Mus musculus: one gene and its partner. The protein of the gene in region 1 interacts with the protein of each later gene in a biochemical or structural test. Links are inferred from orthologs where the notes say so. Each region holds a gene or a part of one and is shown in the gene's direction. Other genes may lie near its edges.

Region 1 (3,916 bases):
AGTCAGTCTTTAAAGCCTTTTAAACTCTTATCCACTCAGATGTCTATGTAAATACACATCTATGCTCTTACTTTCAATGGCCAAATAAGTACAATTATAACTATTGATTCCACTTGAGTGCTTACTATATGCTAGACACTATTACAGGGGATTTGCTTCTAGTAATTTATTTCATCTTCAATGGTTTGTCATTTCCGTTTCTTATTTATGAGGAAACAGACAGAGGAGTTTGTCCAATCTCTTTAATGTCGGACAGTTTAGCGGTCATCAAAACTTTGATATTGTAAACAACGCTGCCATTAATATCTTGGTTCATGTTTTAAAAGACTGTAAGATTTAAAATTCAGAATAACTGGAACCAGAGGCACATTTCCAAAAGCTGGCTATATACTTCCCATCCTTTCTCTTAAGAATGCTGTAATTTATACCCCATCAGGCAACTTTGTTTCCCATCCCTTGGATTCTTTTAGTTTTAAATGACTGAAAACGTTAACCGATGCTTTAGTTTGCTCCTCTTCCTCCAAAATTCGACTTTAACTGTTTAGTAAGCAAGCTGTTTGTACTGTTATACAAATCTTGTTGACATGTTTATAAGCTTCCCTTTTTGTAAGGGTCCCTATTTGGGCACTTTTTACCGAATCTCAGTGCATGTGCAAGACCGACTTGCTAACTTTACGTAATATTTCCAAGAGATGATTCTTTAGATTTCACATGATTTAGAGGACAATGTGTGTGTGTGTGTTGGGAGCTGGGGAGGGGGCGTGCGTTACATACATATGTACAAATTAGATCACCAAATCAACATTTTAAGTTGCCAAGAGTCCTCATCAATGTCTGGCTCCATTTTTCATGTGTGTGTGTGTGTTTTTTTTTTTTTTTCAATTTCTGCCGTTGGGTGTGCGTGCTTATCTCAGGCTGAGAAGGTCTAATCTTCTCAGGGACTCAGTGACTGCACGTTTAGTCAGTCGGAGCCCACACCCAGGAAGGCTCCCTCTGATCTCAGGCTGGGGAATGAGCCAGCGTTACCTCAGCCTCTCGAGAGGCTGTGCGCCTCGACACTCCCTCCAAGGGATTCAGGCCAGCTCCACCAGCTCACATGACTCCAATCCCAGCAACTTCCATGAACCCTCGACGAGCGCGCTCAACATTTTCCTCGGGTAACCCAAAGGACTGCCTGACTTTCTAGAGGGATTGCAACATCACAACAACCCATCGAATAAACCCAAGGAGTTAAAAATTAAGGGTTTGGCTGGACCCAAACTGAACCCTCTCCCTCTCCCAGTCTCTTATTCACTCTAGAGGCTCTTAGTCGGCCTCGGTGCGCCTGAAGGACCTCGTCCTCCCGAGACGCCCGGGGACATGGAAAAGCCGAGAACCTAGCCGCTAACCCCACGGGCACGCGGGAACTCAGCAGAGGAAGAGACAGCGGCGGCTCATCGCGTGGGCCTCGGCGGAGGCGGCGGGCTCTGGCCAGACCCGGAGCGGGCAGTGTTCAGGCAGCGCTCAAGTCGCCTACATTCCCGACACGCCCCGCGCGGGGGCCTGTTCCGCTTCTCGGCTGTTGCCGCCGCCGCCGCCTCTGTTGCTGGGGTGGGTGAGAGGAGGGGCTGAGAGGGACCCTGCACTGGCAGGCAGGCGCCCTTGCTGTGTTTGTACCTGAGGGGCCTCCTTTCTCCGTCACCCCTAGAGTGCCGCGGGGTCGAGGGGCAGTCCCCGGGGACACCTCGGCACGCAGCGGACATGCCTCTCTTTGCCACCAACCCCTTCGACCAGGATGTTGGTAAGTGTTTTCACCGCCCCCCGTGGGTGCCCCCCGAGACTGCGAGCCCGCGCCGACTCCCGTCCCACTGCGTTCGTTCATTCTGGATTCCCGAGGCCGAGCCCACGTTCTTCTCTCCCGGGGCCCCTTCGTTCAGAGTTGGGAGAGGGTTGAGCGCTTGGCGCATCCTCTTTGGAAGAAATGGGACTTAGAACCTCTCTAATGGGCCTTGGTAAGGGACTTGGGGAGGGGGAGCTTTGAAGGAATCGCTTAAGGGATTCGGGGTAAAGGGTTGCCTCGGGAGGAACAGACGACGAAGCCATCTGCCGCTGGGGCATGGCTTCTGGGAGAAGAGCGAAGGACAGACGTATCTTGGCTTAAGCAGATTGATTATATGCTCTATCGCCAAAGTATTTGCCTGGCCCAATGGAACTGGCAGAATGTTTTAGGTAAGGTTACTTAAAGGGTTTTTTAAATAGCCCTATAACGGTCCCTGGAGGAGAGAGGTCTGGTTACGTACTGGTAGGTTGAAATGTTGGAAGAGATGGAGATGGATTACTTGGCAACAACTGAAAACGCAGACATGAGCCTTTGGGATGCCTTTTTCAGGCTGGGCCTCTGCCTTTGGGGAAGTGTGGAAGAGGATTTTGATTCTAGGATGGGGTCTGAAATGCTAAATTTTTTGTTGTCTGAATCATTGGTATTAGGTACCAAGCATACCAATTTAACAGGTTAGCTATCTATTTTTCAGACCTGATTTGAATTTCTTGAAAGAATTTTGGGATGTTTTTGAATGCATTACATTGAACTACACTGGCAGCATAGTGTGGAATGAAAGCGAACCAATACCATCCAGTCCCACAGGCTGAATTTAAGCATAACTGTAGTAAAAGAATGTAAGGATAACTTGTGAGAGTTACTTTATGAATTTTGTTTATTAGAGGTGAATTTTACATTTTGCCAACTGGAGAAAATGTACTATTACTGCCGCTTCCTGCCTGGTTCATAGTGATTCAGTTGAATGTCCTGAATCTGAGCTGTGGATGGAACTTTAGAAATCATCAATAGTGCTAAATAAGTAATGAATTGGGAAATTGTGTTTAATAAGTGCTTAGCACCAGTACTTACTGAACACAGTGTTCATTGACAAGAAATGCAACCATGAAGACCATCTCATTGCGGCTCTTTGGCTGTTTTACAATTTGTTACATCAGTCTTTAGGACAAATGCTTATAATAAAACAATATTTGCTGCCTCTGTTCCTGGCACCTATAGTGATCCTATATGATCTTGCTTTCTGCTAATCAGTCACACTTATATTCTCCTGGCTTGTTCCTTTTTGTGGTATTGGAAATGGAACCCAGGGCCTAATATGTATTCTTTCTGTTTTTTTTTTTTGAACTCACATTTGCAGTGGATTCAGATGGATTTCTTGATGTTAAACCTGTTCTTGCTACCTACACCGCCCAGTCCAAACACAGGCCCCTTCTTGCCTTTATACTTTTGTTTCTGTTATTTCATGTGTCTTTCCACACATATGTCCTCATGCTTTAAGGTCAACTTAGAGTCTGACTTGTTGTACCTGAATTATTTGCTGATTCCTGCAACCTGGAGTTTATAAGTAGCAGTGTTACTGACAGTTTGGAATAGATAAAATCCTTAAGGAGGTTATGCTCTATACATGAAGGCTGTTAACTTTGTATTTGCTCTTCACTCAGTGGATGCCAGTAACATCTCACAGCCAGTCATGACTTTAAAAGACATGACTTAATGTCTCGGGGGCTGTTTAAATACAGTGATTTTTCACCTTCCCCATGTTCTACAAATTTCAGCATTTTTGTCTTAAACATTACATATCAATGTGTTCTTTATTTTGCTCCTTGTTTGATGGCTGCTGCATAGTTGGCTTTGAATAAGTGCTTGTTGAGTTGAAACTATGTTAAGCCTGTTAGACATGTTTTTTTAGAAATCACTCTGAATTATAAAGATACTTTGTGCCATCAGGTCCCTACTGATTTGTATTTACCGATCCCAACAGCCAGTTCCTCATCCAGTTTTTTATTGATGTCTTACATTTTTCTTCTGTGCTTTATCCATAGGTTTGTAGGTCATCAGCCCTTTTCTGGTTTTCTGCTTAGCTTTTTAGTGTCCCCTCCC
Region 2 (3,816 bases), on another chromosome or scaffold:
CTTCTACCCTAAGCCTTGTGACCTCCACTGAACCCCTCTCACTTGTGAGTCTCACTGAGTCACCTCTTCACTCTCCTGCACCTCTTGGCTGAATCAACATCCCATAATGACCCCCCCACCTCCACCTCCCACAAGGGCCTGTCAGTTCTGCATGCTTCCACATAGCAGATAAGGCTGCCAGGCAGCAGGTACTGGCCCGTGTGCTGAGACCGTGGTAGTGAACCAGCTGGGCAAGAAGTTCCCATCCTCCAGCGGCTTACACTATTAGGAGACACGGGGAACACAAAGTAAAAAATAGGCCCTTTCTTACCATCATGCTGGGGACTGGGACACGCAGACCCAAATGAAGTGCTGTTGTCGGGTGGCTCAGGGACAGAATTGAGGAGGCTGGGGCTGAGTCACATGGTGACAAACCCTCCTGCTCAACCTCTGTGATCAGTGGGCAATGGGGAGCTACAGTAGACTCTTGAACAGGAGAGGGGTCTAGGTATTACAGAGAAGAGAGTGGAGGCTGGTGACTCTGTCTTTCTCCCCATGCATCTTCCTTAGGAACTCTGTGCGGCTAGTCATCCGGAAGGTTCAGTATGCCCCTGAGAGACCTGGCCCTCAGCCCACGGCTGAGACTACCAGACAGTTCCTTATGTCAGACAAGCCCCTACACCTTGAGGCATCACTGGATAAGGAGGTAAGAGGCCCAGACACCACTGTCCTCAGCTCTACTATCCCTCAGGTCCCAGTGTCTCTGGACTGTCCTTGAGGGTTTGGGGAATCCTGTTGGGGTCCAAAGGACTGGCAGAGGTGGGCATGTGCACCTATGGAACAGGAGCAATGGAAGGGTCCTGGCCATTCCTCCTTACACTCTTATAATTGCCTGTTTCAAACTGGAGGGAGAACCCCAGCTAATCAGCAGGGTGGTGATGGGGAACAGGACTCAGGGTCTCCTTGCTATTACCCTTATCAGTGAGCTAGAAGGTGAAAAGTTCTTGAAGTCAGGTGACTCTGAGCCAGCTGACTGGGGTATGGGTATGTCCCTCCTTCTTGGGGTAGCTAAAGACAAGAGCCTGGACAAGGTGGTCCCTGAGAATTCCGAGCAGGTCCTCCAGTAGCTGGTTAGCCTTTCCTCTCTTTCTCTGAGTCTTCTAGAGTTTAATGTGTCTGTGAACCCAGACCATCAGAGCCCACAGGAACTTGAGACCTTACTCTGTTCAAGCCTGCACATAGGATAAAGGAGAAACAGCATCTCACTTAACCTGTCCAAGGTTATGCAATGGTTGTCACCATCATTGCTATTATTGCTGTCTTAGCTGGTGGTCAGAATGAGACTGGAGCCGAAGATGTCAGCTTCATTTTCCTATGTGTGTATGTGTGAGTGTGCATGGGTGGGTGGGTGTGTGTGTACATCTGGAGGACAGCCTTGGAGGTATTATTCTCAGGAGTGCCATCCCCCTCCTTTGAGGCAGTCTCTCATTGGCCTGGAGCTTACTAACTCGGCTAGACTCTGTGGGCACCGAGCCTCAGGGATCCTCTTGTCTCTGCCTCCCTAGTGCTGGGATTACAAGATCAAACTCAGGTCCTCGTGTTTGCAACACAAGTACTTGACTGGCAGAGCAGTCCCCCGAGTTCAGGAATGTCATCTTCTAATACAGATATCTTTGAAAGGTCCCACAGTGGTACTGAAGGTCCATATGCTTGGTAGTTTTGTGACACTTTTATCTCAGTGGGAAGTGGCTGGTGAGCTGGGGGCAGAGTTCAGTGTCCCTGTCCATGCTCTCCTGTCATCTGCCTCACAGATCTATTACCACGGAGAACCCATCAGCGTTAATGTCCACGTCACCAACAACACCAACAAGACTGTGAAGAAGATCAAGATCTCGGGTAGCTGGGGATCCTACCGAGGGTTGGGATAGCTGCAGGTGTGGCCTTTGTTAAAAGCCTGAGATGATACCATTAGTAGCTTTGGAAGCTTGGGTCTGCTGTCAGCCTACAGTGGCTTCAAAGCTGTAGGCACTTGGGGCAGTGGGTTTACCGCTTTGCATGCCCCTTCATAGGCTTTCTGGGCCCTGGACAAGCTGTTCTGGGAGGAAAGATTTGGTCATGGAAGGGACTGGGTTTTGATGGGGTTTTCTGTGTGGGTGGAGTCTGGGGTGGTGGCCTCTGATAAATGCTGGTCGTTGTCTCAATCTAAGCAAGCACACCTACTACAGGGAACTTGAGGGCTATCTTGAGAGGTACCCCCTGACTCATGTACCCACCTCCCCTGCTCCCTCTTTCCCCAGTGCGCCAGTATGCAGACATCTGTCTCTTCAACACAGCTCAGTACAAGTGCCCAGTGGCCATGGAGGAGGCTGAGTAAGTGTGTCTGAAGCCGACTTTGGACAGGTGGGACTAGACAGGACAAAGGGGAGCTCTGAGTCCAGGCCCAGGCATCTCTTCTCAACCTGCAGAGAGATGTCCTGGGGTAGGACTCATGTGGCATGTGCCTTTATGTGCTGAGTAGCCTCACTGGCTTCTGTTTCGGTCTTTGAGTCCAGGTCTCACTTTGAGACCAGGCTGGCCTGAAACTCAGAGCCTGAGCTTACTTGGAATCAGGGCAATCCTTCTACTTTAGCCTTCCAAGCGCTGACGTTATAGGTGTGAGCAACTGCACCTGCCACTTTGACATGGTTTCTAATATTCTAGAGATGGAGCTGTTATTACTAAACCAAATATTCTTGCATTATTGGATATTCTCAAATTCACTGTTGATTAAGAATAAAACCTACAGCCATGAGACATAGACTTCTGGTGAGTGTTGGGGGGTACGTTGAATGACCCAGAGCCAGGAGAGCATTTAACCCCAAGTGGAACATAGTCATAGCCATAGTCTGTCACATATTTGCATCTGCAGTCTGGAGAAAGGGTAGCTGCCTGGGCTTCCAGTAAGCATTCCTGTGGGGTTGGGCTTGGGGTTGAGATGTGGCCGGCTCTGCTCCCTTCAAGAGGCAAATTTAGGTCTTATTCCAGGACTGTCCCAGTGTCAGGTGCACGCATCTGCCTCATCTTTGAGAAGGGAGATGGGGGATAAAATAGCACCAGCCAAAGGGAACAACAGAGGTTCCTGTGCATGACTGATAGATACACATTGCAGCAAGTAAAGTTTCAATGGTAGAACCTAGGTGGGGGCTTCCAGGCATTTACTCATGGTTTGTATGCCCACTTTTGAACATAAACGTGGGCTGGAGAGATGGCTGAGCAGTTAGGAGCACGTGCTGTTCTTCCTCCAAAGGACCAGGGTTCATTTTCCAGTACCCACACCAGGCTGCTCACAGCAGCTTGTAAGTCTAGTTCTAGGGGATATGATGCGCTCTTCTGGCCAATGAGGGCACTTGCATGTGAGTGGTGCACAGACAGTCATGGAGGCACACACACACACACACACACACACACACAAATTAAAAACTTAATCATTAAATAAAAACTAAAAATAAATGTGTGGGCTAGAGAGATGGCTCAGTGGTTAAGAACACCGACTGCTCTTCCAGAGGTCCTGATTTCAGTTCCCAGCAACCACATGGTGACTCATGACCATGGAATGGGATCCAATGCCCTTTTCTTGTATGTCTGAAGATAGGGACAGTGTACTCATATACATAAAATAAATAATCTTTTTTAAAAGTGTGCTATTTAAGTGTGCATGGTGACCATGCCTAGTTTAGGATTAGTCCTGCTTGTGTGTGGTGGGCCTCTCCTCTTTCCCATGGCAGTGGGCTTGCTGCTTGAGCTGGGCTCAGCCCAAGTGGTTGCCTGCATCTGGGAGATAAGGGTTGCTGGCAGAGG

Evidence for each region.
Region 2: the proteins of Stam (region 1) and Arrb1 form a complex in vitro, tested with the Homo sapiens proteins (2 studies listed by BioGRID). The link is inferred for Mus musculus from reciprocal best matches to the Homo sapiens genes STAM and ARRB1.

Annotation. Positions count from the first base shown.
Region 1 is NC_000068.7:14,072,557-14,076,472, forward strand, and holds the start of Stam (signal transducing adapter molecule 1), read left to right. Parts: upstream 1-1,543; 5' UTR 1,544-1,740; coding exon 1,741-1,780; intron 1,781-3,916. UniProt on the Homo sapiens protein: Involved in intracellular signal transduction mediated by cytokines and growth factors. Upon IL-2 and GM-CSL stimulation, it plays a role in signaling leading to DNA synthesis and MYC induction. May also play a role in T-cell development.
Region 2 is NC_000073.6:99,590,714-99,594,529, forward strand, and holds part of Arrb1 (beta-arrestin-1), read left to right. Parts: intron 1-549; coding exon 550-685; intron 686-1,790; coding exon 1,791-1,875; intron 1,876-2,276; coding exon 2,277-2,349; intron 2,350-3,816. UniProt on the Homo sapiens protein: Functions in regulating agonist-mediated G-protein coupled receptor (GPCR) signaling by mediating both receptor desensitization and resensitization processes.